Caenorhabditis elegans: one gene and its partners. The protein of the gene in region 3 purifies or fractionates together with the protein of the main gene of each other region. This does not show direct contact. Each region holds a gene or a part of one and is shown on either strand. Other genes may lie near its edges. The genes, in order: C45B2.6, M142.5, nsph-3.2 and B0250.5.

Region 1 (9,148 bases), on a different chromosome or scaffold from region 3:
AACTAGGAAATGTATTTTCTTTATTCTCATATTTTATTCAAAGATTCAAACTACACTGATCCTTTCAATTCAAAAATTAAAAAAAACTCACGATGAGGTTTATTGTCGTGTGTTAGTGTTTCACAAAGGGCGATTTTGTTTGGCCCCGGTCTAAACGGATCACGGTATAATGCGATTGGTCGGATGTACACATCAGAGCCTTCGCCAAGTGATTGACCGGTCGAAGTTCCATCGAAATTCCAGATTGGGAGATCTGTTGATATACAAAATTACTTTCCAAAATTCTAATTATAAGCTTACCAGATGGAGTTTTCGGCTCGAAGTCAAATGTCTTGGTCTTTCCTCGCATATTTTCCTGGGTTGCATCAATCCAAATGTACATTACCTGATAGTTGTTGTATTGGTCTAGAGCCATGTACTTAGCATTGAGCTCCGAAATATCTGAAAAAGAGCAACTATTCATTGGGTTTTATATGATCAAACTTACTGTTCGTTCGGGCCCTTTTGTTTGATCTACCGTACGACATGTTTGAGAGCTAGCGAAAAAGATGTTTCTGAAAATTAAAGAAATTGAGAAAATTGGGAACTTTTAATTCAATTTCGAAGTTAAAATAAATTGAAATGAAACATTTAATAAATAGAAAAGTTTGGGACACACAGATTGAAAGAAAAGTAAAACTTTAAAACCTTAAACTAGAAAGTAAAACTAAAATGGAATGAAACACCAACTAACGACGGGTTCGGTTTTTCGGAGAGTGTATATGTCAAAGGAAGGATGAGGAAGAGAGAGTGTGTCAGCATATTGATGCAGACAGTCATGCGGGGGGTTAGAAGAAAAAAGACGCAGAGAACCAACTCAGCAAATGACGGTTCACTTCATATAAGTTTACACAAACGCCATTCAGATGGATGGTGGTTACAAAAGGAGCATAAGAAACTCAGAGATCGGCTCACGACCATATTGGTGTAAGTACCTGCCCTTTGCCCAATTTGTTACCTCATGCGGTTTGTGAAAAACGCAATGTACTCGACAGAGAGAGAGAGAGAGAACGAGAGACCGCAGATAACAATCAAAGAATGGGAGGTGGTGGTGGGAATCGTTGCCATACAGTCAAGAAATCAGAGACCAAAAGAATACAACTTCAAATGTTTGAAAAATGAAAACATTATTCGTCCGAAAGTCACAAGTGGAGTGGCTGTGGAGCTATGATACGTGTGATAGTAAGTTGTAAAACGGAAGTTTACACATTCTTTATTGATATTCTGATAAAGTAATTTCGTTTTATCATTCTGATTCAAAAAATCAGACTGATCAAATTAAACCTACTAATCGGAAAAGTGTGGCTGCCGCTGCTGCGCACATGTACTTGGTAGTCTGGGCAACAATAAGGAAAACGGCAAAGTTGGTTTTATTGAACGAAAAAAAGTGCAGACTAGATACGTATGTATATGACAGATGCTATTTTTTCTTTGTATAAGATCAAAGGAGCAAATTCTCTTCACTGATTCTTTGGTTGAGAGAAAAACATTATTATAAAAAAAAGCTGAGTGGCACTGAACGAAAATACTTCTTGATGGATTTTTACCTCTAGTAAAAGACAGAGAAGATAAACAAAAATGGAAATACGACAAAGCTTGAAAAAATATTTACTCGGTTCAAATAGACTTCTATGTATTATGACGGAATGATTTTTCACAACTGAGACTTAGAATGTATACAAAATTATGAACTTATGTGTATTCTCACATATGAGAAAAGCAAAACTAATAGATTATTGAATATCTGCGAGAGGGCTCAAATTATTTGAGAATCGAAGAAAGCATGTACATCTCATTTCGCATTGCGACAGCTTCATACTGCAAAAAGTCAATACATAATGAATCAAATTGTCATCCATTAGGTTACCTTGACAGCGAGCATTGCATCCAGCAACGCACTATCATCCTTCTCGTCAATAGCAACTGGGAATTCAAGGTTTGGAGTGAAACGGAAGAAAGCCATTCCCATGGCTTCAGCCATCCAACGAGCCCGTTCGACGGTTACTCCATCAGCTGCTGTGAGCTGAAAGTGTGGAAAAATGAAAGGTGACAATATAATTAGATGTTTTCCCCGAAAAGGTTGTTAATCCATTCTAGAAAGAAAAAATATTGGAAATAGAAAACAAAATTAACAAAAAATTAAGAAATAACAGTTCCGGTTTATCGAGTGTAAGTCATATACACTCATGTTTTGAACGAAGCTTTAGATTTACGAAGAAAACTTGTCAAATTAGTCCATGTAACTATTTTAGCACCGAAATCACACTTCAAACTAGAATTTGAAACAACCATTTTTGGTTCAAACTAATAAGTCAAAACTCTTTTCAGGATGCGTTTTCAATATGAGAATAAATTGAGATGTTTTCAAGAAACATTCACGTTCGTTGCTAATTATGAAAGGCACCGGTGATTAAAATTAACGTAGTTGGGCTTTTCTGCTATTGAGTTGCCTAATAGTGAGCACACAAACTTTTTGACAACTTTGATTGAATTACATTGACAGACTTATTGATCTGCGCAAAACTTCAAACTTTATTGGCCATTTTTATCTGAAAAGAATTGCTTGCAACTCACCTGCTCAATAAAGACGTCTTTTAAGTGAAGAATCTGGTTGAACGTGTTCACAATTCCACCCATTGTTGTTGGCTTCATCAAGTCAACATTCTCAATTTTCTTTTGCATCGACCCAGTTCCAATTGAAACCATGATCTTTGACACATTACGCTCGTTTCTCTCATATTCCAGGCGTTGACAATCAGTAAGAATGTCAACAGCTGGATTATTAGCGATTAGTCCTCCGTCCATAAACTTTCCATCAACAGGTGGGAAGAATGATGGCGCCGCTCTGAAAAATACGAATCAAAAAGTGCATTTCTGTCCAGCTGTGACTCACGAAGAAGCCCTAACAACTTTTGCAGCTGCCCAGACAGGCTTCATGCCAGCTTGATCAAATGACGGGTCTCTGATGTTATAACTGCGGAACATGTAGAGTAGCGGAGGGCTGATATCGACTCGAGCAACCGGGATACTGATGCGAATACCATTCTTCTCACCGAGTTGCTGGAGCGTATCTCTTCCAAATTCATTTAGAAGAGCATTTTCCAGACCTTCGCCAGAGTATGGTCTGGATCCAATGAAAATATCATCCTGAAAAAATAAGATATTGCAACTAGCACCTGATCTTCCATATCATAATCGCTTTTCTCAATGTTCATTTTCCTACTTTCATTCTGAAATATTGTCTGATGACATGGTCAATATTTCCGTACTTGACCAATCCAAGAGTGATCATTGATCCAGTTGATGTTCCACCGATATGATTGAACCAGCGCAAGAATTTATTTCCAACAACCTTTTCGATCTCCTTCAAAAGCTGAAGAGCCAGAATTCCTTTCATACCACCTCCGTCAATAGACAAAATGACTGAATCTTTCTTGGTCAATGGCGGGAAGTTTTGGCAACGACGATGAGAAGGGTTTTCTGAAAGACGCAGAATGTTATAAAGCGAATAGAAACATATCAAAGTTACCCAGATTGTATTTAATATTTTTCTCTTTTCCTTCTTCAAGTGCTTTGAAGTGTTTTTGCAGAACTTCTGCACATTTACGTCTGGAATTTAGTGCAGCTTTCAAAATTCGGTCGGTGGAATGTCCATCAAACGCCAGAAATGCTTTTACAATATCGACGTCATCTCTTTCAAGAGCATAATCCATTGGAGACATTCCTTTGTTATCAAGCATATTAACATTCGCGCCGTGCGACCAAAGAAGTATGATTGTGCTTAGGTTTCCATTTTTTGCTGAAAAAGTTACGAGTTGCCATTTAAATGTAGTTCAGTTTACCTATATAATGCATTGGTGTGAGTCCGTTCAAATCTTGAGCGTTTATCATTTCAGCTTTGGCAAAACTGAGCATCAACTTTTGGTGCTGGAAATTTGATTAATAAAAACAATATAGTCATTTCAACAAACATCTTTCACGAAATTGTCAAATGTGTGAAACACATTCTTCGAGTTCAAAAGTCTCCCCAAAAAGTCCGAGTCTTGCACGTAGAGAATTCTCAGCACTCTGAAAAACGGTACTAATAAGATAGATACAATCAATGTGGCAACTTACGATTCAAGATCTCTCAGTGAAAATGATGATTTGTTGAGAACATCTGCCGGTGACAATAAGCAATGTGGCAAGTTATTTTTGATTGAGTATTCTGAATATGTTGATAAAGAAAATGTTGTAATTTTTGGTATTCACCTAGAATTTTCTCAAAAGATCGCGGGTAATCGGGAGTTTCGGGCTTGGGATGAGTTTCTGCGGTTATGATCATTTTGTCGCATACTTCTCCGGTAACATGACTGTTGATGTACTGCAAAAATATATTGTTTTCCAAATTTGTTCTTACATTGAAGCATTTTTTTTTTCAAAATATAGAATCGGAAAAACTTGTATACAAATTGAAGCTGCAAAAATCATCCAGCAAAATGATCCGGAGCACAGTTTTCATCTGTACGGATTTTAATTTTTCAGTGAGTCCCACCCATATGCAAGCTTTTTTCGTCAGACTTAACCAATTTCTATAGTTTTCATTTATTGATATAACGCCTATTAATGTCTATTAAGGCATTTGTTTTGTAATTTTCAGCAAAATCCCCCCAAGACACATTTTTCCACCTCGTATCTTTTATTTTAATAAATATTCACCTTTACAATTTCTGGACGATGACGTGCAACTTGCAAAATTGTCTGACCATTATGATTCATTGTCAATGGATCGAAATATTTGTCCCAGACCATTTGAAGTAAACTAAGAGATGCAAATCGAGCGGCAACATGAACGGGAGTATCACCTCTTCTATTTAGTTTTGACATTGAGAAGCTGAAACGGTTCAGTTTTTGTTAACTCAATAAAACTTGATTTGACAGTAACCTACCCATCTCCTTCTTTCTTTTTCTCCTCCTTAACATAATTTGAAAATCCAGAAAAAATCGCAAAATATACTGCTGAGCACTCGGATTGTAATTCCTTTTCTCTCAGCATAACCGGTACCAAATCATTAATGACGTTGATAGGATTGTTCAGATGTGTGATGGATTCGTCAAATTCTTTCCACAAATATTCCAGATCGTCAATGTAAGATGCATTCTTATTGAAATAAACAACCTGGAAAGTTTCTACGTGTATTTTTAATGTTATTTCAGCTTACATAGTTGTTTGGTGTGTAGACAAGTGCATATCCATCACCATATGTAGCTTGTGAAAAGTTCGTAGAAAGCTTTGAGTTGATAGAAAATTTCAAGGTTTTATCCACAGGTCCCGGCCACTGAAAATTGTGCAAATAAATAGGTAAAGGTTTTTAATAATTTAAAAAACCATAATCTGGGAGCACATTTTTGACACATTAAAAAAACATCGTTTTCCTCATCGTTGTGTGGTAGTTTTTTAAACAAAAATTTATAAAAAACTATAGAAAAAATATTTTTTAAATTTATTTTTAGAAAGTGCATGCTCAAGTTTTTTTTTCAATTTTTCATAAACTCAAAATGTTCAAAACTCACCATCGATTGTGCCTGTGGATTGCTGGCTTGAGACGTTGAACCAGCTGCTTTATGTTGAGCATCCGCGTATTCTTTGATTTTATCCTCCACGTTTTGTCGGACTGTGTTCATCGCCATCTGGCCGACGTCACTTTTGGCAAGTTTCATGAAAAAATCCATCTGAAATAACTGTGTTCATAGAAATATGATGTGAAACATGGAACAAACTGGAAATGGAATATAACAACAACAATTAGCATAGGTGTCGTCAAATGTGGTGTCAGGTCCGCATGTACACTTTTGCGGACTTGAGTGCACTATACCACTTCAGATGAGAGGTTTCCGTTTCCTTTTGGTTTTTCTCTAAACAATACAAAAAACGTGTTGAATTTCTAGTAAGAATTCGTTTTTTTTTCTTTTAAACTATTTGTGAATAATTAATGCGTTCTCTGCGGACATTGTTTTCCCGCCCTCACCCTTTGCCCAGACAGTGCATGTGTTCTTATCGATTTGTACAGCTGTTACTTTTTTCGATTTGTTTTTTTTTCTAAATAGAAATGACTTTCAAGTTTTACTGTTGTATTTTGCAGCAAAACTTACAATAAAAAACTATTGACTAATACCCAAAAGTTTCCCACCCAATTCGATGCAATCCATTTAAAAGCCCCCACTTAAATGATAGAAAAGTTACCAGCATCTCGAACAAATCCGGTTTCCGATAGATTCGCTCGATCGTCCATTAACTCAATCCGTGCACTTTTCCCCCTCAGTTCATCCCCATGAACTTTGATCTAAAACTGTTGTTGGTTTGTTTTCAATTCAATTGCTTATTTGGAACCATTTTAAAACTGGGCAAAGAGTCCGTTTTTGCGATCAGAAGATTGTCCTCTTTTTATGGTTTTAGAACTCTCATTAAACGTCAACTTGTGACCTTTCGGAACGTAATTTCGAATGCATGTCTCCTAGTGTTTCCGTTTTTGTTCAATTGCCAAATATCCTTTGTGCCATCCTTTTTCTTTTTACCACTTTGATAGATAACAAATGAAAGACAAAGTTATAAAAGTTGAAAATAATATAATATTTCAAACCTAACAAGATTAATTGGTTAAAAATCTGTTACTTATTTTCGGAATATATCCGTTCCTTTCCTTCATCCACTTTATCAAAGGAATGTGTGTAATCTTTGAAAGTATGCTCCAAAACACTCATTACTCACACACTCTTGTCTCATAAACGTGGTCCCGTTGCTAGATGGTGCCGGCGATGATACAAGAGAGAGAAAGAGACTACAAACGGGAGTGCGTGTGAGACAGCCTAGCTAAATCTACCAATCCTACATTTGACCTTTGCCACGAACCAAGATGGCGTAAGTTGCAGAGGCCTGCACCGTCGATCGTCGAATGTTTACATAACCTATTCATAGAGTTGGTTTTAGATATTCGACTTTTTTATCCCTAGAAACATTTTTGTCGACGCATCATGTAAACTTTGTTTATTAAGTATTACCATATTTTCCCTTTCAGACATGCACCTCCCCCCCCCCCCCCCCCCATTTCTCTACTTTGGCGGCTTTTTTAAGTTTTATTTTTTGAAAAAGTAGAAATTGTTCCCCTCGATAGACTCAAAATGGCCTTAAAACCCAATTTATGAGGAATTTTTCAAAAAAATGTCTAAAAGTTTTACATTAGTCCCCTTTTTTGAAGCTAATTCTGCATGTTTTGGTAAATATTTTTCAGTTCAGTTGATAGAATACTAAATTTGGATAACTATCGATTAGCTATGTACTGAGAATGTACTGAAATATACAGAAAACTTTGGCATAAACAGCCTAAGTACTCAAGAAGTGGTGATAATTGAACGAAAACAATCTACATGCTTCTGCAATAGGTACAAGTTGGTAAGATTCGAACTCACTAATTTACTGTCTATTTCAACTTATCTTCAATTGCGCACTTTTTATGTTACATTCTCCAACTTTGAACACACATTCCGACCTTGTCAATCTGTTTGTCAAAGAGAAAAAAGTCTTTAAAATTCCGGGGGACATTCCTTTATCTCGTTAGTGTCAAAGCCTACCGGCGGCATCAAGTAGAAAACAATAATTGATATCAGATTGATCCGAATTTGAAACGACATCGAACTAGTTTTCGCATTCTCGCTACATTTCAATGAATTGAGCGTGTATGTGTGTATTATATGTGTATGTGTGCTTGATGATATAGGCGATGATAATAACACATACATACGCACAGGAAGGTTTTCCCCCTGTGGCCACACCGGTGGAAAGTGAAACCATCGCAGCCGAGGATTGAGATGACACGGTGATAGGATCTCCTCATCTTGTCCCCCGCAATTCGATTCTTGCCTCGTTGTCCTCAGGTTGATGATATATGCTTTTAATTAGGTTAATCAAAACATCAAAGCCCTTTTAACTCTGCCTCCATAAAAATTTTCTCCGCGTGGGTCTCAACGCTCATTTCATTTTTTCGTTTCACTCGGCAACAAATCAAGACATTTGTCAAACAAAAATCAAGAACTGGATTTCCGTTCATTTGGTTGTCGGCATACAAAAAGTGTATTCCAATAGCTCAAACTCGGAAAACCGTTGCATCTTGTATTGACAAGGTTCTTCATCTTTTTTTATTTGCACCGTCTCGTCATGAGTCTGTACTGCAATTAAACATACTAATTGAGCGATGTCTACAGTTCAAAAATTCAGGGAAACACCCACTAATAGTTTTGCTGCTCACTGAGATTTCAGGAAGCTCCAAATGATAAGTGTCGAGAGGTCGAGATGTTAGGTGGTTGTCCAAGTTGTTCTATCTCTCTTACTCACATCTCTTACTCCCTCTTCACCCCTTCCTGTCGTGTATATGTGTGTGTGCGTATGTCTGGTTGTGTGTGTTCTTCTTCATTTGACCGCTATCGATTGATTTTATCTCCAACGACATCCTCCCCTCATCCGTCCGTTTTGCCCCTCCGCAGCTCTTTATCAATTGCCTTGGCCGCATCATCCGCGACCCACCGTACTAGTTATCTTTCTCTGTTTCCTCCATTCAATTGATAACACTAGAAAATGGCGCGCGTTCAACAAACACAGTGCCATTCTCCATTTCTAGCAAACAGTCCAGGTTTCGAACTGTTTTTTTTCTACATTGTGCAAAATGAGATTGGATTTCTTATCGACAGTGTAATAAAATCTTAGATACCTAGATTTTGTTTCTCATTTTTCTTTTTTTTTTTTCTTTCGGTTTTGTGATTTTCCTTTGGGTTTTTGCAGGTCTAGATTGTAAATATTCCCAAATTAACAGATTATGTAATGAGGATTCTCAAAAAATGTTCAACAATTTTTTATGGCGGTCTGAAATTTTAAAAACACCTAATTTTAATTAAAATTGGCTATTTTTTCATGTCTCAGCTGTTGGAAAATTTATTTTGAAGATTAGAATGTTTTTATTGCATATTGGTGATTTTCTTACATTATTTTGTTAATGAATGTACATTTAAAGCCCATACGTAATTGAAAATGGCCACAATCAACCCCCTATGATTTTTATGAGGTCTCATTATTAAATTT
Region 2 (6,681 bases), on a different chromosome or scaffold from region 3:
AAAACTTTTTTTTTCAAATTTTGCAATATTTTATGTGAATTTTTGCAGAAATGTCAATTTCTAGTAATTTTTGTGCATTTTTGAGCCGAAAACAACGATTTTAAACCTATTTATGTGTATTTTGAGCTAGTTTTTCATGTTATTCAAGATTTTTTAAATCAATTTTTGAGGTATTGAAGGAGATTTTACTGGATTTTCTTTACTATTTACAAACCGAAAATTGGCTCAAAGTATAGATTTTTTTCTAGTTTTTTTTCTGAAAAAAAAAGAAAAATAAGTTTTTAAATGGTTTTATTGCAATTTTTGAATGACTTTTAAAGGAAAAATTGGCTGAAAATTCGAAAATTCCAAAAAGCCAGCGAAATCTAAATTTTAAGATTTAAAAAATGCAATTTTCATTTCAATTTTCCAATAAAACCCATATTTTCTATCAAAATTTCATCTGATGCACCTCAGTTTCATGGAAAAACTTGACGAGTGTGGGCGAAGAGACACATCCGATCCTTGCAGGCCTTGCTTCGGATCCTTCCAACGCTGCGGCGACACCTTCAGCGACAAGTTTCCGCGATGTCTCATCATCGTACCAAAACTGGCTCAACTGCCAGTCTTCATCGATTTTCTCGATGATTCCCGACTGAAGTTGCTCGATTTTCTCCTGTTGCTCAGCTTGAAACATGGAAAGAGCCGCCAGGGTGTCGGCGGACAGTTGTGGAATATCATCAGTGTCTGACATTTCAGAACTCGAGCTGAAAGTTTTTGAGAATTGAAAAATCACAGATTTTCAACCAAATTTCAACTGAATTTTAGGAAAATTCAGTTGAAATTTTGTATTTATTGTTCTAAAATAGCTCTTTAAAAATTCTGAAATATCAGTTTTATCGTAAATTTAGTTTTTGTTTAGAAAACATGAAAAATCGATTTTTAAGCTAATTTTTGTGAATTTTTGTTTAAAAAAATGTGAATTTACGAATTTTTGAGCTATTTTCCACATTTTTGCATTAGAAAAAATATGAAAAACCACAAATTTTCAACTTTTACTCGGAATTTAAGGAAAATTCTGCTGAAATGCAGAACATTTCCGTATTTTAGTGAAAATCAGCGATTTTTAGGATATTTTGATTGCAAAAATGTTAAAAATAGCTTAAAAATCACTTTTTTAAATTGAAATTTCAAACAAATCGGCTTTAAAATTAATTTTTTTTGTTGAAAAAATTTATAATAATTTTTTTATTGAAAAAGCTCTCTAAACCAGATTCTCTAAACCAGTTTTTCTTTAAAAAAATCAATTTTTATTTTTAAAAATAAATTTAAATTTAGCAAATAACCGGTATTTCTTTATTTAATTTTTTTTTTGGAATTCCTGTAATATTTGGGCAATTTTTCGTGTTTTTTCGAATGCAAAAATGTGAAAAATAGCTCAAAAATTCGTAAATTCAGATTTTTTTGAAATAAAAATTCACAGAAATCGAAAATTAGCTTAAAAATCGATTTTTAATGCTTTCAAACTGCCATTTCAGAATTTTTAACGAGCAATTTTAGAAAATAATGATTTAAAAAAGATATAAAATGGTAATTTAACCCATTCTTTCACAGAAAAAACAGAAAAAACTACGAAAAAAATTAAATATATATTATATTTTAGGGCGGAATTTAATAAATAATTGAGGACGGGGGGCAATTTCAAATTTAAAAAAACTAAAAAAAAAAAAGGAGAAAAATGCTGAGAAAAGGTTCAAATGCAATGAAGAATTGGTTGATTTGGAAGAGAAAATATATATATATATATTGAAAGGGACAGAGATACCTGAAAAACGAGACCCGCGGCTGATGAATTTTTATTCGAAAAATCGATTTTTAGGGGGAAATAGCAAGAAAATCGATTTTTTTTTTGAATTAAAAACGGAGAAAATACAACATTTTCGACCTAATTTGTTGAAAAACGACGTTTTCTTGATTTTTTTCTTGTTTTGAAAATTTTTTAAGTCGATTAAATCGATTAAAATTACATTTTCTCGAAGACGATTGGAAATTATCGGGAATCACAGAAAAAATGAAGAAAAATATCGAATTTTTCAGAATTAAATAGATTTTCACGAAGTTTTTTTTTAATCAGATTTTTTTTTTGAATTTTAATTATTAAAAATCGTTGAAATTTTCAATAGAAGAATTCGAGATTTTTTTTTAAATCGGCTTCAAATTCAGTTAATTCAAGTTTGAAGATTAAATTTTAAAAAAATCCTGAATAAAATCGATTCAAAACGGAATTTTGTCGATTTTCACAGAATTAATTAATTTTCGAGTTTAAATTCTCGAAATGTTACTTTTTATGGGTTTAAATAGAGATTTTCTTGATTTTCCCCACTCTTTTCTTTAAACCCATCAGCCTTAGGACAAAAAATATACAAAAATGGGAAAAAATCGATAACTAGTTGGCCACAATAGCTCCAATAGTGAAATCAAGCGGAGCACGTGCCGTATACTCGGTCATTGGTTTTGAGAGAATTTTCTGAACTTGAAGTACGGCACTTTCGGCACGCGATTCATCGAATCCTGTCGCTTTTGCATCTTTTGTCACGTCGGACACCTCGTAGGGCTTGTGAACCAACACGAGCCCGAGCACACGGATATCCTCGCCACACCAACATGTATCCGGAATTGTGCGCTTCAATTGCAGATAGGCTTGTTGTCCACGAATCGATATTGCTGGTGATTTCATTAGATTCGGTGTGAGCTCGCCGAGAGTTTTGTCGAGCCGTTCGGTGGTCCGTGTACCGTTTACCGGATTGTTCTGGGCGAATTGCTCGGTTTTGGCGCGCGCGAATTTCTCGCTTTCCTCGAGAGCTTCACTTAACACTTTTATCTGAAATTAATATTAATTATTAATATCAAAGTACCGATTTTTGCCAGAAAAAACTCACATTTTTCAAGTGCTCCGAGTTGAAAATGCGAATCATTGGCTTGTTAATCGCCATTTCCTTGGTGTCGAGAACCAAAACCTGAAACTTTGGCTTTTGGTTAATAAATAATTCAATAAATCGATAATTCTCTTACCTTGCGAGTCGTGTCGAACGAAATTACCACTCCCCGGGCGCTCAAGCCATTCGTCGTCTCGATTTCGACGCAGGCGCCGATCGCAACGTTTGACGCTGTCAGATTACACGAAGCCATGCTGCAAAGACAACTATATTGTTTTAAAATAATTATTTTCAAAATTTTGAAACAAAAAATGCATTAAAAACAAGAAACTGCACAAAAACGGGTCGATAAATGCTGCGGCGCCGATGGAAAAAGACGAAAAAGGGAGGTGTCAGCATGTGCGCTCCGTTGCGAACCCACACTGAACATTTGTTTGTCGTGATTTTTGAGGGGAATTACACGATACGAAGCGATGCTGGCCGCGCGGCAAAAGTTCAAGAAATCAATGATTATTGTTTAAAAAATGAAATTCTCGTGGAAAAATGAGTTAAAATTCAAGAACCGCGTGCAAAAAGTGACCTGAAACCGAAATGGAAAATGAATTTTCAGCGAAAATCTGGAAATCTGCATCAATATTCGAAAAAAAAATATTTTCCATCGAAAAAGTGTGAAATGCAAATGCAATAACCTCGGATCCGAGCTCGGAGTCAATCAATTATGCTTGTTTCACTCTGAAAATGTTTTCCCCATTAGTTTTCGTGAAAAAAACCCTTTTTCATGAAATGTCATGCTCTTAAATTTTATGTTCATTTAATTTTACTCAAATACTTATTACGGGAACACAAAATTCTGAGAATGCGTATTATTGCGCAACATTTGACGCGCAAAATATCTCGCAGCAAAAACTACAGTAATTATTTAAAGACTACTGTAGTTTCGATTTAAGGTCTCCATTTTCGAAATGAATTAATAGAATTTATTTATATGTAGATGAAATAATAAAATCAATCAAAAAAAAAGAGAAAACAATTCTAAAGTCACTATTCAAAAATCGAGCCCGTAATTCGACACAAGCTCTACAGTAGTCATTTAAAGAAATTACTGTAGTTTTCGCTACGAGATATTTTGTGCAATACGCATTCTCAGAATTTCGTGTTCCTGTAATAAGACTGGTTTTTTTTCGTTTTTTTTTCGCATTAAAAAACAGGTTTGATTCAAGAGGAGATTTTTTGTCGAAGAAGTTCAAATTTCTTGGTTTCCCGCCCTGCCACGTGGCAAAACCCCCTCAACATGTAGCATATGTGTTTTATAAATTTCATAAACCCTCTGCCCCCGCACAACACATAATTCATTGCTGCTGCCCGGCGAACTTTTATGCAAATCACAGTACTTGAGAGTTAAGACGCCTGTTGTTTCCCGCGTAGTCATCTATCATCATCTGCTGCTCCTACTGCTGCTCTAAATGGTGTCCAAGGACACAGACACACAGACACTAATCATGAAATGAGGAGGAGATCGGTGGAGCATATCGAAGTAGTATACATACACTTTATGAGCCATCATCAATTTTGTCTTGTACCTCAAATTGGAGAAGAAGGAGAGAGTCTCAGTCATAAATTGAGAAATAAGGAGTGTTTTATAACTAAAAGCAATTAGAGTTTAGCTTACTTATAGTTCGTTTTTTTAAGAGAAGAGCATTTAATTAATTACAGTATACTATAGTCGCAAAGAAAATTCATTGTTTTTGTAGGGCTTCCATGTAAGCGTTAACACGCCTGCCTGCCTGCCTGTGAATTTGGAAAATTTGGCAGCTTTTTTTTTCGAAATGCCAGAATATTGTGTTGACTGTAATTTTTTAAATGTATTTCTAAGTTTTTCTCCAATTTTGAAAAACAGTTTTAGGTGCACCTGAATTGCGTATTGCGCGCTGAAACACGCTCCTATTTTCAGCAATTTTTTTGACTGAAGTTCATATTTTTGAGAACATTTTTAGCGGGAAATTCAAATTGCCTGTATACAAGTGTACGAATTTATAATCTTCGGCAACTTTCATGTAATTTCTAAAAACTCTCCCCTCCACCATCACTTTCCTAAAAAAATTCTGCAAAAAATTTAGATAAATCTCGATAACTTGGGGAGCCCGGCAGCAGCGACCATCTGTCAATTGCTCTTTTATTTCATCGTCTTCCGATATTTCCAAAAAAACAGCGATAAATTTTCAGTTCTCTGATATCTTTTTCCATGACATTCACCACTGAATTATGGCAATTTTGATATGGGAAAATATCTTATGAAATGGAAGATTTATTAGTAAAATTTGGGTTTCTAGGCCACCTAAACAAAACTCAAGTCACAATTAAATCACTTTCCCACCACCATGAGATATTCAAAACCACGTCAGAGATTTTCAGGACTTTTCGAGAATCTGTGGCCTAAGTAAAGTAAAAGTAACTTCAAGGTCTCCTAGGCCACCAAAATGATTTCTTGGCTATCGAGTGCATTAATAGATGATATTGAAAGAAATAGTTTATTCTCGATTCAATTCAAAAGTTCACAATCCCTTTGGAACCGCGGACTTCTTACGCCGTACAGTAGTCTTTGTAATTCCGGAATTCATGAGGAGAAGCTGAAAAAAATAATTACCAAACAGTTTAATAGGTACTAGTATACCTCTTCAGCTTCCTTCTTGGCGATTGCCAAAAAGTTTGGACGCGGCTGACCAGTGACGCGTTGCAAGATTTGTGCGATTTCCGCCATTGTTGGACGATCGTTGGAATTCTCCGCACAGCATCTCTGAGGAAAAATAGTTATGGGGGTGGTTGGTGGGGTATGGGTCCTATAGTATTTAGATATATGAACCAAATAGATCCTATTGGATCTTATGGGGTATGAGTATATTCTACCTGGATGGGCGGCAATTTGGAATTTGGCACTCTGCCGGTTTGCCAACTTGCCGAATATTTCCAATTCCGACAAACTGCCGATTTGCCGTTCGCCGGAAATTTTCATGTCCGGCAATTTGAGGATTTGCTTATTTGCCGGAAAAAAATCGTTTGCCGCCCACCTCTGTAATGTACCCCTCGATGCACCATATAAGCTCTCAGGGTCTTTAAAATAAGTCTAACTTACTTATGTATAAACTTTTATTTGGTCCTATTGCTAATGGGGTTTTTTTTGGATTTAACCATACACTCACCGTCATCAACGTTTGAATCTCTGGCGGGGCCAACGGATGTGGAGGCATTCGGTACCCATCCGGTACCTGCTGAGCAACCTCGGCGGTAGTCAAACCCGGATACGTCTCGGCTGCGTTGTTGAAGATCTCCCAGCAAAGAATCCCGTAAGCCCAGACGTCGGACTTTTGGGAGTAAACCTGAAATAACAATAGATCTTATATGGGCTCATGAGGGGATACGTACCATGGATTTCATGGCTTCAACTGCCAGCCATCGGATAGGAGCTTTCGTGTTTGGTTTAATTTGGTAAATTGTTCCATCACGGGTTAAGCCGAAATCCGAGATTTTAACCTTCCCGTCTCCGTAGAGGCAATTTCGCGCGGCAATATCCCGATGGAGCATGGGCTTTGCATGAATATACTCAAGGCCCCATGCCGCTTGAAGAAGCATTTCATTTCGCTTGTCGATCGGCAGAAGCTCATTCTTTTTCAAATACGCGTCCAAAGCACCATCCGATGCGAGCTCCATCACCAGATAAATCGGCTCCTGCAGCACAGCGACTCCGTAGTATCTCACGACGTGTTGGTGG
Region 3 (6,874 bases):
TATATTTTCATTTTATTCTTCAATATGACCTAAATCAATTCTAGATTTTGATCATATTCGGTACGAGAAACTACTATAGAAAAAATACGATCGCACAAAAATAAACAACGACGCAATGCACTGAAATGCGTCGGCCGCAGTGCAAATGAAATCGTGGGCGGGGCTTAAAAACAGCGGAGTGTCGTTGCGTCGTTGTTTATTTTTGTGCGATCGTATTTTTTCTATAATAACCCGATCTATTTTTGTGGAATGTTCCAAATTTTCACAATTAGGGCTCAAAAATCTCGATTTAATTGAAATTCTATAGAAGATTTTCAAGCCAAAGTTTTGTATACCATTATTTATGTGCTGTCGATAAATAAAATTGATAGTCTATTACTAATTATATGTAATATTTTTGTTTACAGCCACGTAAAAGACATAACTTACCGGCGCAGTCATACTGTGTTCAAACAAAAAATCAAAAATACTTGTTGATAAGGCCGAATGAAAGCGAAATTAATTCAAGTGAAATTAAATCCATGATATGGTGAAACAAAATTTTTATTGCGTGAAAAAAGAAAAAGTTAAATGTTATTTTTCTCCAATAGTTTTTTTAATATTGAAAATCAAGGTGAGGTAAGGTAAGGTAAGGTAAGGTAAGGTATGGTATGGTAGGGTCCTTGAAAAAACAAAAATTTTTTGGAGTGTTTATAACTTTCTGCATTTCAAAACTCACACAACTTTAGCCCTTTCAATTTTATTTGTTTTATTTGGAATTTTTAAGACTGAAAATTTCACGGGTTTTTGGAAACTGAAACTTTTGAAAATATTATGAAACTTCAAAAAATGTCCTACTTTTTCAAAAACTTCTAATTGACCTTAGATAACCCGAAGTGTCTTGAACCTTCCAAAAAACTGTCTCAAGTAGAATTTTTTCGTAGTTTCTAGAATTTTTGGTGATTTCTCTCTTTTCTAGAATTTCTTTGAAATATTTAAATTTTTCCAAAAATTTCGTGTTTGTTTCTGCTGTTCATATATTTTCAAAAGTTTCTGGATATAGGTTTCTGGATCTGAGCTCAAAAAGTTTCACGAAACAAAACGATTTTTTTCTCCAAAGCTTTACGAAGTTTCTCATATTTTCTTAGACTTACTTTTTTTTTCTTAGTCTCAAACAGAAAATTTTGGAAGATTTTAAGAGAAAAAATCGGAGACATTTGAATTCCCGCCAAAAGTTTTAACGGGAACTCAGACAAACCGGAGCATAGCAACTCCGAGTAGACAGCGCAGTTACTTCGAGCAAAAGCATACAAACAGGTGACGTGTATGAAATCATTGCATGATTCATACCTCAATCAAGCAAAATCTAAGGAATTTAATAATGAATAAAAATTGATTTATATTTGATTGATTGTTTCAATTGTTAATAACGTCTGAGTCAAACACAATCATCCTCTGATGTACACCGACTTTCCTCCCACCTTTTTCTGTCCCCATCTAAACTCTCTTATCTCTGTCACCACAGCATTTTGGCTCCGCCTACTTTTCATACCTATATATACAATCTCCAATATTGTATTAATTATTTTTCCTACGTATTCTACCAATAAATGAATGTAAAGCCCCAGCCGGCCGAAACCGTTTTATATATGGTGCATCGACGACTTACGGTCTCGGTGCTACTTCAAAGACCCGCGTGGCCGGCGGGCCGGCTGCGGGCTCATACGGGACTATATTCACTACTTTTGGAGCTGTGAACATCTGGTTCACAGTCGTCATCGAGGCAAGCGAACAGGACATCACCGGAAGAGGACGAGCAAAATAATCAAATTTGCACCCATTGCCAAACGAGCGGCAGATTCCGATTCAAATGAACAAAGTACGCCTGGATCTGCGATGGGTCCGATCCAACCGAGATGGGCGAGGTTGGAAGCAAGGGTGGACGGACATTAACCGAAATATCCGCTGATCGATTTTTTTTTCTCAAAAATACGTATATTTTTAGCTACTTCCCAACTGACTTTATCGTGTGCATTTCAAACTTAGCTGTTGTATTCATATTGAATCAAATACAAAAATTCAAAGTTGTATACCTTTTTTCGTCAAAAACACTACAGAAATGATAGTTAGCTCCTTGTAGCAGGCGGCGTTTTGGCACTTGAATGCTGTGAATAAATTTTATGATTTCTACAGAGTGTGCTGCATCATACTTTAAAAATGGGAGCATTTGAAAAGTTGGAAATTATGTTATCGTTAGACGTGATGTTATAGAAGATTATTAAAGATATTACGAAGAGACAACAAGGATAGGAAAAACCGACGACCACTACCAACAAGAAAAAGAGCTCCATGAAAAATAAAGATTTGAAGAAAAAATAAGCTTGAATGCGTCTTCGATATTAGTTGAAATTTTAAAATAAGACTATGAAATGTATTGGAATTTTATATTTTTTTCATTTCAATTCTACAGCGAAGGAGTTGATTTTTTGGCGAGGAGATGTGGCGGACAATACAAATTTATTAATCAATATTGATGAAAAAGGTATCATCCGTAGTTGATTGATATGGTGTGTACTTATCCGTCGAGCTTGTATCCAGCCTTGGCCTTACGGCAGAGAACAATGGTGTTATCAGCGCAGTTCTTGGCAGTTGCAGAATGCTCCTTTCCTTGGTATCCATAACCATACTTCTCGTTACGGACATCCACCTTGGCAAGAATCTGCTTTCCTCCAGCAACGTTAACAACTCCAACGGAGATATCTCCCTTGTGGTTGTTGACATGAACTGGATGCCAAGCTTTGTCTCCAAACTGAGCAGCCTCCGGGAATGGGATCCATCCATAGTCAAAACCACGAACACTGTCCGGAAGATAGATGAGAAGCTGGATAGATCCAACATTCTTGCAATACTCGTTGTTGAACCACGAGAAGTTGGCAGCCACCTGCAAGTGCAAAATGAATCGTTTCGTCTAAAAATGAACTTCCTTACCTTTCCTCCTTCATTCCAGACACGACCCATAACAGGTTCACCTTGCATGTACCAGAGAGCAACATATTGGTCTGGATTGACTCCTGGAAGGGTGTCCAGAGTCTTGTCAAGAGCCTTGACAAGTTGGCGAGTCGGCCATGGATCTCCCTCACGAATGTCCATCCATTCGTCTCTCTCGACACGTGGCACTGGCTTTGGTGGTGGTGGAGCAGCTCCGCACACAGCACATGGGCAATGTGGTGGTCCTCCGATGCAGTTGCGCGTGATGATGTACATCTCGTTGAGCTGTGGCCCGAGCTGCTTAATCACCTTCCCATTGAACGAGAACCATGCTTCCTCAGTCTTGTTGTCCACATATCCGAGGAGGTTTCCTTCAGCACGTTTCCAGAAGATTGGGAATGAATCACCACAACGCACAAGTTGATGTTTATCGTCAATCTTCTCAATACGATCCTTGTACTTGATCCATTCGTACCAGAAACCTGAATAATGGAAACATATTTTTGGGTTACTCCTGTAAAAGAAACTAACCTTGGTTGTTGTGATCTCCAAGGTACTGAAGAACCTGAATCTGACCCTCAAGCTGCTGCTTGGTGGTCAGTTCAGCCTCCTTGTACGGGAAAGAGCACTCGACAACTCCTCCGTTATTCCACGAACGTCCATGGATTGGCTTTCCGTGCTTGTACCACAGAGCCACGTACATATTCTGCTCACCCATACATTTTACCGGGCTCGGCGGGAAGGGGGCTCCGATTGGCTGGAATGCCCAAGTATCTTCTTTCGGTGGCGGATTCGGCATTGGTTTTTCAAAGGCACTTGTCGCAGCAGTCCGTTGTGTTGGAATGAGTAACAACTGATTGATTTAGTCAGTTTTCGTCAAGCTTTATACGAAATTTCTTGCCAATTGACCAATGGCTATGTTGTCACGAAGAAATTAATTAATTATTCTAAAATTTTTATTCCTTATTTTTAAAGCGGTTAACGGATTGTTTTTCATATTGGGATGATTTCTTTACGTGTTTCTTTTTTAATTTAAACTTTTAAATATTTATTAAAAAGAACAAATTTGAAGAGTCATCGATGAAAGCAAGAAAACCCCTGAAAGCAAGAAAAGCAATTTTGGAAAAAACTGCTCAAATTTCCGATTTTCAGTTTTTTCTGGAACCTCGGGTTTCTAAAAATTAGAGCTTCAATTAGAGAGTGGGGCCTTTGCCGCCGGTAACGCCGCTAACACAAACACCGTATGTTAAAACAATATGTTTATTATTTTTTATTTTTTCTGAATTTAATAGTTTGTCGAAGCATGTTTTTTTAACTGCTTTAAAGTTTGAAAAGCTTGAACGAACACGGGTTTCTTGAAGCTTGATGCTTGAAAATCTGATCTTTTGCTCGATTCGTGCGCCTGGTGATCATCATTAATTAATCTTTTCAAATGTACATATATCGAATACATCCAATCCTGCTCCATATTGTTATTAGGCCCTTCCAGGCCAGCAAAAAAAACAGGTTGGCTTTTAATTTTATTATTCTCATTATCAAAGTTAATTCTAACAATTAAAATAAACTTAAATTTTGAAGAAACATTATCGAAACATAACATGAATATTTTTTATTTTTGGAACAACTCAAAACTCAAATACTCATTTATTGCCCACATAAACAATTAGAAATTTTTACAACAAGTTCATTATTCTTCTTTTTCAGCCACCTTGTTCTCATCCGTAGCCTTGAGAGTGTTCGTCATATTTGATGTGGAAACAATTTTTTGGGCAGCTGATTTCTTTTCTTTGTCCAATTTTGGTTTATCCTTATCCTTATTGATCTTGCGACGCTTCTTGGTACGGAAAGATCTATCCCTATCCATTGCTTCCAACCGTCCATTCATTAGCTTATATTGCTCTCAATCTTCATTTCTCATATGCACAATTTCTTTGTAAAGATCCCGAATCTGTCCAATCAAAAGTCGAATAGACTCTCGATCATCCGGTCCTTCGACAACCATAGCAATTTTTGCGAGAAAAATGAAACAAATAAGAAAAAGAGACAAAAAGACACAAAGACAAAACTTCAATGCGTGTAATATATTTTTTTTACGTGGTTAATCTCTTATCTCAAAAGGTCATCAAAAATTGTTTGGTATAAAAGTCTGAGATTTTCTGTTAAAATCAGTATAACACTCGTCTCGTCTACTAAATAGACCATCAAAAATCATCCGCAAATGCCGAAGTCGAAGAGTCAGAAGAACAAACTTCGTCCTCGTGACTCAAAAGGACGCTTCACTCCTCTTGCCAAGACCAAGAGGACCGTCGTGAGCCGCTCCCGCTCCAGAAGCGCATCTCGTGCTCGTCGAAGCCGTAGTGTTGGGAGACCAGCGAGTCGCAGAATCTCAGTCCGTTCGGTCTCAACGCACACTGCCAAATCGCCAAGGTAAGCAGAAATATATTATCTTTTCATCGCAAATATTTTTCCTTTTCAGCTTGGTTGTTGTGATCTCTCCATCACCACGTCGTCGTCGTTCATCAACCAGCCGTTCGTCTCGTCGATCGGTTGTGAGAAGCGCATCCCGTGGATCCGTGAGCCGCCGTTCGTCTTCTCGTGGATCGGTGTATGGACGCACAGGACGCTCTCGCTCGTCGAAGCGTTCTCGCTCCAGAAGCCGCTCCAGAAGCCGCTCCAGAAGTCGCTCTTATTCACGCTCCCGTTCCGGGTCTCGCAGAAGCTCTCGTCGCCGCTCTCGTCGCCGCTCATCCTTGAAGGCTCGTGGACGTCGTGCTTCGACTGCAAAGAAGACTCCTGCCAAGAGACGTAGTCGCAGCAGAAGCCAACAGAAGGTCAAACGCTCGATGAGCCGCAAAGGCTGAACGGATTGAAATGGAACTGAATAGCTTATGAAATAAATTGTGTGATATTGTGTGATGTGTTTTGTTTGTTGTTTAAAATGAGCTTCATTGCAAAAAGCAGGATTTGACTAAAAATCTAGAATTGATTTCAGTTTCAGTTGATTTCAGTTGACATTTTGAAAACAAATAGTTTTTACCACCGATTCCTTACCTCAACTAAATCCTGAACCTTAACCCTTTTCCCCGTATTCCGAGAACCGCTGACTTCTCTATCCAATCGTTTTCAATTGATGGGCGGTCTCTTTCAAAAGCTCCGCCCATATTTCCTTCTCTTCCTAATCCACAGGTGCCCTGAAGAATATAGTAAAAGTGTTGGAGGCTAGTGGGTGGAGCCTATTTGACTGTGGTGTATGTGTGCATCCGAGGGCGTCCAAACGGTTGATTGCCTCGTGAAAAGGTCCTTTCGTTGAAAAATTATGGAACCTATTTGGAGAAATTATCCTTACCCAACCTACCCAGGACATCACAATTTTCAATTTGGTAGGTCTCTTTTTTTAAATCTCCATTAAAAATGAAAGTTTCAAGTTGCTAAAAGAAAATTAAAGCATATCCCTTAAACAATTGTAAAGTAGTTACGAAAGGCAACATCTCTTACTATTAACAAATAAAAAGTATTCAGTCTAATTTTAAAGGTGGAATATGACCATCTTGAAATTTTGCTTTGAATGACAGAATAGAGCTTTATTATACAAATTATAACTGATAATATTTTAAAAATTATTTAAAATTTATTATGTGTTTTTCAATTTTGCATAATGTTCGAAAGAGTCAAATTATGTTTGAATTCCCGCGCAAATGAATATCCTACATTCGACACTTTCGCCTTTTCTGGCTTTATTGTTTATGTTTATTTAATAAATTTTTTTTAACACAGTCTCTCAATTTTCAGACATTTTCATAAATAAAAATTAAAGATAAAAGACCATTTTTGAAATTTCCGAGAATTTATTTGGAAAAATGTTTGAAAAATCGAAAGACGGTGTTTCAAATCAAATATCAAAGAGTTT
Region 4 (8,903 bases), on a different chromosome or scaffold from region 3:
ATATCAGACATTAATCTCTATTTGCCACATGGATTCCAGCAAGTTTCCACGTTAAAATCTTCGCGAGCCGTCATATCACTAAAATTCCTTATCTACATAGTGTTCTTGACACATCATTAAATTAGTTGCTCGCGGAGCAACAACTGCAAAAACGGTCTTCGTTCGGAACACGTAAGCATGCAAACACGCGCTGGAAGAGCAAAGTGCATGCGGTCACAAACATTTTTTCTCGGTATAAAATGCCAAGCGGGGTGCCACATTTCGGCATAGGCATCAATTTTCACTGCTGCTGCTGCTGAATCAACACTAAAAATGGCCGAGAAACGTGAGTTTTTGGATGTATGCTTATTTTTTCAAGAATTCATGTTTTTTGTTCAATTTGAAAAAAATTTAACAATAAGACCGAAAATGGCGAAAAATTGAAATTTTCAATTTTTGTTGATTTTTCGGCAGAAAAAAGTATGTAATTCTTTAGCAAGTTATTGTTTTGATTTTTTACATGTAATTGTACAATAACCTCATATTCCAGATATTATAGGATACAACACCAAAAAATGATTTAATTTTTTACATTTTTAGATGTCAGGCTGTCCCATTTTGGTGAGATCTACAAAAAAAGCGGGAATTTAGACGCAGACTTCTCAACTGATTTTACATGGTTAAGAACATGCTGACACGTCACATATTTTTGGAAAAAAATTCCCGCATTTTCTGTAGATCAAACAGTAATGGGCAGTCTGACACCACACGCTTCCAATAAAAAAAGTTTATTAAAAATATCGGAAACTACCCGAACATACAACCAACTTGAAAAGTACAGCACACACGTGGTGTCAGGCTGTCCCATTACGGTTTGATCTACAAAAAATGCGGGATTTTTTAACCCAAACAAATGTGACGTCAGCACGTTCTTAACCATGCAAAATCAGTTAAGAAGTCTGCATCTCAATTCCCGCCATTTTCGAAGATCTAAGTAGATCAAACCACGCAAATTACCTAATAAAAATCCAAAAATTGAAAATTTTCGGATTTTTTGTAGGTCTCCTAATACCCTACTAATATGTAAAAAAAATTTCAGTCGCAAAAGCCAAGGAGGAGATGACAGCCGCCGGTCTCTCGCCAGAATCCATCGAGGGAATTCTCAAAATCGCCGCCACTTACAAGAAGAAGGACGATGAGCCAGAACGTGATGCTGCCACTTCTTTGGCAATTATCACAAAAATGATCGGAGAGACCAATGAGTATATTAAGGGACAATCGGAAGCCGATCAGAAGATCTACGCTGTCATTATTGAGAAGAAGAAGGCCGAGCTTATCGAGGCCGCCAAGAAGCAATAGATTTTCTTTTTGTTTTGAAATTTTATTCTATTATGAGCTTGTAATAAAATAATTTTTGTAATTTTAAACTTGTAATGGTCACATACTTTTGGGAAAAAAATTCCCGCATTTTCTGTAGATCAAACAGTAATGACACCACGTATTTCTAATGAAAAAGTTCCTTTAAAATTTCGGAAACTGCCCGAACCTACTTGACCTACTTGAAAAGTAATGTACATACATGGTGGCTGTCCCATTACGGTTTGATCTACAAAAAATGCGGGATTTTTTTGCCCAAAAAGTGCACGCTTTTATCCATGCGAAGTCAATTGAGAAATCTGCATCTCAATTCCCGCATTTTTCGAAGATCGAAGTAGATCGAACCACGCAAATTTAATTCAATTATGAGCTTGTAATAAATAATTTTTTTGTAATTTTGAACTTGTAATGGTCTTTCCAAGTGATTTTTCATGGAAAATATATTCTTGTAAATTTTTTAAAAATCTCTATTTTTTCTTATAAAATCAGCTTTTTTTTCGATAAATTTTTGTGACAAAAATTGATTTTTTAAGATTAATTTTTCGATTAAAACCCTGAAAATTTTAAATTTTTTTTCGAATTTTTTCGATTCGATTTTTTCCCAGACAGTTTTTCGAATTTAAACAAAAAATTCATAAATTTCTATTTTTTTCTACATAAAAAACACAATTTGGCACATAGAAAAAAGGCGGAAAAATCACATAAAATATGCTTAAAAATTGGAAAAATCCTGAAAATACGGGGCTTCAAATCACATAAAATATGCTTTAAAAATTTCAGAAAAAACCGAAAATTATGAGTTTTGTTTCTTCAAAAACTGATAGACGACACCGAAATCCTTTGCCTGGTACTGTGGATCACGAGCCAGAATACGGTAGATTTGATGAGCCAGTGAGCCCATTGGAGTTGGTGCTTGAGTATTTGTTGAAGCATTTTGAGCCAATGAAAGGTCTTTTGCCATTAGAGTCGTTCCGAAGCCGCCAGCATAACCCTGAAATTGGAAATTTTAGGTTGATCGGCGGAATTTAGGAGACTTTCATTGAAATTTTTGAATGAAATTTCTGGCAAATCGGCGAATTGGCACATTGCCGGAATTGAAAATTTCCGGCACACCGGCAAACCGGCAATTTGCCGAAAATGAAAATTTCCGGCAAATCGGCGAAACGGCAAGTTGCCGGAATTAAAAATTTCCGGCAAATCGGCAAACCGGCAAGTTGCCGAAATTGAAAATTTCCGGCAAATCGGCAAATTGAAGGAATTGAACGTTTCCGGCAACTCGACAAACCGGCAAGATGCCGATTTGCAAAAATGTTCCAGATATTCGATTTTTTTTTTGAAAATTTCAACTTTTTTGAATTATTTTTAAATCAAAATTCCTATTAAAATCATCAAAAAATTGGAAAGTTATAAATTTAAGCTAAAAATTCAAAAAATGGCGAAATTTAATTTTTTAAATGAATTTTTTGAGGACAGAATCAAATTTTGAGATTTTTTTTTTGCATTTTTACGGATTTTCAGTCAATTTTCCATCCATACCCTGCACGAAGGGATGTTTTCAATGACTCCGGGTACTGGATTGTACGTGTCCGACGACCAACACCTTCCTGACGATGTATTCACGATTCCGGCAAGCGCTTTCGCGTCGAGACCCATTCTGTAAAAAAAATTTTGTTGAATTTTTTAGAAAAATATATTTAATTTCAATTTTTTGCGCTGGTCGTTTTACTTTGCTGATGTGGGAAAAAAAATGTTTTTCAAAATTATTTTTGACGAAACTGTTTTTTTAGAATTTTGGTGGGCGGCATTGTTTCGTCAACAAATTGGGCAAATTGGCAAATTGCCGGTTTGCCGGAAATTTTCAATTCCGGCCATTTGCGGGTTTGCCGGAAATTTTTAGAGGGAATTTTTTTCTGAAATTTTCAAAAAATAAACTGATCAAAACTAAAATTTGCCGAAAATTTTGCAAATTCGGCAATTTGCCGGTTTGCCGATTTACCGGAAAATTCAATTCCGGCAATTTGGCGATTTGCCGATTTGCCGGAAAATTCAATTCCGACAATTAGCCGATTTGCCGGAAATTTTCAATTCCGGCAATTTTCCGATATGCCGGAAATATTCAATTCCGGCAATTTGGCGATTTGCCGGAAAATTCAATTCCGGCAATGTGCCGATTTGCCGGAAATTGTTAATTCTGGCAATTTGCCGATTTGCCGGAAATTTTCAATTCCGGCAATTTGGCGATTTGCCCATTTGCCGGAAAAAAAAGTAATGAAAAATATTAATTTTAATCAGAAAACTTGAAAAATTGCCTGGAAACGTTTTTTTTTTCAATTTTTGAAATGGTTTGAACTTTCGGCAAAAAATTGAATTTTCAGCAATTTTTGCTTCAATTTTTTTTGCATTTTCCAAAATCGTTCACCATTTCCGTATTTTCGGCGTTTTTCGAATTTTTATAATTTTCAGAAGTTTTCTGGACAATACTAAATTTATAAAGTATCTTGCCATTTAAAAAATATCAAAATTATCAAATTTCGAAAAAAAAACATATTTTCAAGAGAAATTTCAGATTTTCAGCTATTTCTACTCAATTTTTTCTAAATTTTCAGATTTTCCACATACGAGATGCCTAAATTCATAGTCTCCGCGACAGCGACCATCTGGATTCCCAAAAGCATATTATTGCAGATTTTGGCGGCTGTTCCGTTGCCGACGGCTCCCAAATTCACGATATTTTTGCCCATAAGGCTTAAAACCGCTTCGGCACGCTTGAAAGTTGCATCGTTTCCGGCTCCAACCATAAATGTTAGTGTAGCTTGCTGGGCGCCTGGAAAATTATGAAAATTGAGTTTTTTAGTGAAATTTTGGAATTTTTAGTGAAAATTTGAGATTTTCAGAGGAATTATGAGATTTTTAGTGAAAATTTGAACTTTTTAGTGAAAATTTGAGATTTATAGCGGAAATTTGAGATTTTTTGTGAAAATTTTAGATTTTTAGTGAAAATTTGAATTTTTCAGTGAAATTTTGAGATTTTCAGTGAAAACTTGAATTTTTCTGTGAAAATTTGAAGTTTTTAGTGAAAATTGGAAGTTTTTAGTGAAATTTTGAGATTTATAGTGAAATTTTGAGATTTTTAGTGAAAATCTGAGATTTTCAGTGAAAATTTGAGATTTTCAGTGGAAATTTCAGATTTTTAGTGAAAATTTGAATTTTTCAGTGAAAATTTGAAGTTTTTAGTGAAAAGTTTGAGATTTTAAGCTAAAATTTCGACAGTTTTAGGGAAAAATGTGATTTTTTGAGCTAAAACTCAAGTTTTCTGAAATTTTTTACTGAGATTTCGATTTTTGTTTTTCAAAAAAAAAAAATTTCGGCCAAATTTTTGAGTTTTTAGGCTAAAATTCAAGTTTTCAACTGAATTTTCACGAAAATCACGTTAAAAACATTATTATTTTTCGAATTTCAACTGGTTTTCGCAATTTTCCGTCTCCGAATTCCCGTACCAGTGACTCCACCGGAGATTGGGGCGTCGATATACTCGGCTTTGAGCAAAGCGGCGGCCTGAGCAACTTCCAGTGACACAATTTGATCGATTGTGGAGGAATCCATGCACAGTGTTCCAGGCTGGATGGTTCTGGAATTTAAAAACTAGAAAATTTTAAAAATTAAAAAAATTTTTTTTTTTTGAGAAAAAATTTTATTTTTTATTTTTTTCCCAAAATTTTCAGGATTTTTCGTACTTAAAAATTCCAGCTTCGCCTTGATAGACGGCTTTCACGTGTGGAGAGCTCGGAAGCACTGTGATGATTTCTTTCGAAGCGGCGGCGATATCAGCAGGGTGAGCGGCGACTTCACAGCCTTCTGCCTGAAAAAATCGATTTTTAAACGAGTTTTCTCAAATTTATTGTTAATCTTACCTTAAACTCCTGCACTACTGCCTTATTAACATCGTAGACGATGAGTTTCTTCCCGTTTTTGATCAAATTCCGGGCCATATGGCCGCCCATGTTGCCGAGACCGATGAACCCGGTGAGAGACATGATTTTGCTGAAATTAGTTGAGTTTTAGAGAGAAAATATTGCGAAAAATGATCTTTAAGTGAAAAAACTGAGTAAGAATCAAGAAATTCGCATGAAAATTAATAAAAGCGAATAAAAACTAAAGTAAAATAAATGTGCGTTTGTCCACAAGTTCTACACGTGGACAACAGTGTTTGCGGACTTCGTTACGACAAATTGCGGAAAATTATGAAAAAAGCGATTTTCAGGCGGAAAATCTAAATTTCAAAGAAAATAAATTAGAAAATCGAGTTTTTCACAAAATTTCTCGTAAAATGACATATTGAACTTTACAAACAGTGCATAATACAAGGAAATCTGAAAATAAGTTAGAAAAAATCTCGAAATCGAGCAGAAAAACGGGCGGTATCGGTCAAATTTCAATTTTTTCAATTTTTAAAAAGGCACGTGGAACTTCATAAAAGAAGAAAAAACACAAGAAAAAACGGCGAAATTGACAGATAGGAGAGAAGAGTGCAGATTGCACCAGTGGCAGTGTGGTTGTGTGATCTAAGATGTTTGGGTTTTTGATTTCAAGAGTTTCAAACTGAATTAATTGATAATAATTGGCATTACAATTGGAAAAAAAAGAAAATCTATTGAAAAATTGCCAAATGCAATTTAAAAATTGCCATTTTCGTCTTGGATTAGCTGAAAAATATTTATCCTGAAGTTTCAGAGTATTTCCGGTGAATTTTTCAGATTTTTCGCGTAAAATATTCTCTAAATCCTGTGTTTTAGGGTTTTTGTGTGCATTGTCGTAAAATTTGTAACGCTAACCTCAGCCTACAGTAACCAAAAGCGAGAGTTTCTGTGCATTTTTTCGTGAAATCTGGTGCCTCGTACGTGGACACCGAGCTACCGTAACTGAAAACACCAGACTTTACGACAATTTGCACGTATTTTGAAATGTAAGAGTTGGCCGAACTAGGCCATTTTGACTCAACCACGGCTGGGGTAGATTTACGGCGCGTTGCGTCTCGGTTTTAATTGCAAAACTAAATATATTTGTCCGAGTGGAGTACACGACTTTCCCATGTCTCCGGCAGGCGATTGTCAATGGAGCGCGAAAAATGTAATGAGAAAGGCCAGAATTTCGTGTTCACGTTTTGCCAGGCTGTCCCATTACGGGTTGATCTACAAAAAAGGCGGGAATTTTTTTTTCAAGAAAAATGGTGACCTCAGCACGTTCTTAACCATGCGAAATCAGTTGAGAAGTCTGCGTCGCTTATCCCGCATTTTTTGTAGATCTACGTAGATCAAGCTGAAATGAGAAATAACACTATGACACCACGTGCGTGTTGTCATTGACAGCGATCAGAAGTACGTATTTCCGGAGAAATTTCCGCCTGACAATACCAGACGGGTTCAATTAGAATACCCATATATTCTGACTATTTTCTTTCACTTGATTAGTTTCTCCAAGAATGCTCCTCATCGCCGTTTTAACTACTCTCATATCGATTTTATTCGCCATTACCATCTGCTACCTCAACTTTCTTCTTTTGATCTCAATATTCTGGCGCAAAAGAATCCCTGTAAATTTGCATATGATGCTGACTTACTGCAGATTCGGTGTGGACTTGGTTTATACTATAGTTCTGTTGATTCTCAAAATATATTATATGCTTACAAGGATTTCTAATGACTTTATCATCAAAAACTTATACTTTTTACTTGTATTTCCAGCTGCATCAATTGGGAATATAAGATCAGTACTAACATTTTTAATAGCCCTCGAAAGAGTTATTGCCATATATTTTCCAATTTTCTTCCACATTTATCGACAAAAACTTCCGAATTTTGTATTTTTACTCATAATCCTATCCAGTGAACTTTTCAATCAGTACATGCTTTTTGGATATTGTGGAAATGTTCTTGAAACACCACTAGAGTGTGTAAATTACTTTTGTGCTGTTAACAGTTGTTACTACCGCTACTGGTTTTCACATCAACAAATAGTTTGCTTTTTGAATGGAGCTTTCTCGGTCGTTTTATTTCTTCGGCTTACTTTTTGGAGTTATTTCTCGGGAACTGAAACGAATAAGGATATTTCGAGAGTGAGTTTTATGTACAGTGCAGGGGTCGCCGGAAAACGATTTTTTCTGGCAAATCGGCGAATTGCCGGAATTGAAATTTCCGGCAAATCGGCAAATTGCCGGAATTTAAAATTACTGTAAGTTGGTAATTTGCCGGAATTGAGAAATTCCTTCCGGAAAACCAGCAAATTGCCGAAATTGAAAATTACAGGCAATTCGGCAAATTGCTGGAACTGGAAATTTCCTGAAAATCGGCAAATTGCCGGAATTTAAAGTTACTACAAGTTGGTAATTTGCCGAAATTGAAAATTACCGGCAAATCGACAAATTGCCGGAATTGAAAATATCCGCAATTCGGTAAAATGGCACTTTGCCGGAATTGAAAATTTTCGGAAAACCGGCGAATCGGAAATTTGCCGGAATTGAAAATTACCGGCAGATCAGCAAACCGGCAAATTGCCGAAAGCGAAATTTCCGGCAAATCGGCAAATTGCCGGAATTGAAATTTCCGGCAAATCGGCAATTTGCCGGAATTGAAAATTTCCGGCAAATCGACAAATTGCCGGAATTGAAAATTTCCGGGAAATTGGCAACTTTCCGATTTGGCGAGCGGCAACTACATCAAAATATCAAATTTTCGGAATTTAAAAATCTCGATTTTTTTTGAATTTCTGAAAGTTTTATGGTTTTTTCTCCGAATTGTTATAAGCTATCAAAATTGTTTAATTTTTTTCAAATTTTTTGAAGTTTTCAAATTTTTGAATTTTTTTTTGACAATTTTTTTGAAATTTTAGTGGTTCATTAAAAACTTTTTCGTCATTTTTACAGCTAGATATATTCGTACATTACCATTATTATTTTTTACAATTATAAAACTGTTTCAGGCCACCCGCATAGCTCTTCTCGACTTTTTCATAATGCTATTCTTCAATATCATTCCTTTGTACATCTCTAGTCATATTACTGGTGTTAATTTGGAGATATTGGGATTGTTTATTGTTCTTATCAAGACATTTGGATTTTTGGTTGAAGGATTGATAACCTATCGATTTTTATTTAATTTGAAAATTGACTCTGTCAATGAGGCTACAGTAGTCTCGTAACCTTTTACTCTTTTTGTTGAACTTTGTAGCTCTACTTGGAATTGCTGTATTTTCTTCTATTAGTATAGAAAAGCGCCTCAGTAATTTTATGATTTTAACAAAATTGTTTGCCTATTTTGCAACGATTGTTGACAAATTGTTTTTATGAGATTGAAGTTGTTGAACTTTTTTTTTGCAATTATAATCAGATTTTCTATATTTCCAAATAAAATTGGAATTCTTTCAGTTAAAAACTATTGAGCCCCGACACAGAAAAATTTTCTGAAAATTAGTATTGCACTCTCTAATAGCAAGCGGAAAAGCTGGAAGACTATATTATTGCAACCATACTAATTGAAGAAATACGGCATACA

What was found.
Region 1: the proteins of nsph-3.2 (region 3) and C45B2.6 fractionate together in Caenorhabditis elegans (co-fractionation; one large-scale study listed by BioGRID). This does not show direct contact.
Region 2: the proteins of nsph-3.2 (region 3) and M142.5 fractionate together in Caenorhabditis elegans (co-fractionation; one large-scale study listed by BioGRID). This does not show direct contact.
Region 4: the proteins of nsph-3.2 (region 3) and B0250.5 fractionate together in Caenorhabditis elegans (co-fractionation; one large-scale study listed by BioGRID). This does not show direct contact.

The regions. Positions count from the first base shown.
Region 1 is NC_003284.9:6,049,661-6,058,808, reverse strand, and holds C45B2.6 (phospholipase A2), read right to left. Parts: upstream 5,752-9,148; 5' UTR 5,710-5,751; coding exon 5,593-5,709; intron 5,358-5,592; coding exon 5,241-5,357; intron 5,198-5,240; coding exon 4,968-5,197; intron 4,913-4,967; coding exon 4,738-4,912; intron 4,403-4,737; coding exon 4,291-4,402; intron 4,247-4,290; coding exon 4,156-4,246; intron 4,108-4,155; coding exon 4,011-4,107; intron 3,967-4,010; coding exon 3,882-3,966; intron 3,839-3,881; coding exon 3,569-3,838; intron 3,520-3,568; coding exon 3,263-3,519; intron 3,187-3,262; coding exon 2,933-3,186; intron 2,885-2,932; coding exon 2,614-2,884; intron 2,063-2,613; coding exon 1,907-2,062; intron 1,858-1,906; coding exon 1,801-1,857; 3' UTR 1,636-1,800; downstream 1-1,635. Other genes in the region: gln-1 (glutamine synthetase), read right to left, coding at 92-253, 301-441, 488-527.
Region 2 is NC_003281.10:10,927,696-10,934,376, reverse strand, and holds M142.5 (AD domain-containing protein), read right to left. Parts: upstream 3,177-6,681; 5' UTR 3,169-3,176; coding exon 3,052-3,168; intron 3,003-3,051; coding exon 2,919-3,002; intron 2,861-2,918; coding exon 2,426-2,860; 3' UTR 1,616-2,425; downstream 1-1,615. Other genes in the region: Protein-lysine N-methyltransferase M142.8, read right to left, coding at 452-733.
Region 3 is NC_003282.8:10,109,822-10,116,695, reverse strand, and holds nsph-3.2 (Nematode Specific Peptide family), read right to left. Parts: upstream 3,827-6,874; 5' UTR 3,767-3,826; coding exon 3,499-3,766; intron 3,450-3,498; coding exon 2,968-3,449; intron 2,921-2,967; coding exon 2,555-2,920; 3' UTR 2,409-2,554; downstream 1-2,408. Other genes in the region: C04G2.10 (Protein kinase domain-containing protein), read right to left, coding at 1,134-1,196; spch-1 (SPerm CHromatin enriched), read left to right, coding at 5,186-5,394, 5,444-5,828; egl-38 (Paired box protein 5 homolog), read left to right, coding at 6,284-6,347.
Region 4 is NC_003283.11:20,490,418-20,499,320, reverse strand, and holds B0250.5 (putative 3-hydroxyisobutyrate dehydrogenase, mitochondrial), read right to left. Parts: upstream 5,398-8,903; 5' UTR 5,391-5,397; coding exon 5,268-5,390; intron 5,216-5,267; coding exon 5,091-5,215; intron 4,985-5,090; coding exon 4,854-4,984; intron 4,181-4,853; coding exon 3,976-4,180; intron 3,011-3,975; coding exon 2,893-3,010; intron 2,348-2,892; coding exon 2,150-2,347; 3' UTR 1,976-2,149; downstream 1-1,975. Other genes in the region: dct-16 (DAF-16/FOXO Controlled, germline Tumor affecting), read left to right, coding at 313-325, 1,079-1,338; srbc-79 (Serpentine Receptor, class BC (Class B-like)), read left to right, coding at 6,836-7,468, 8,332-8,550.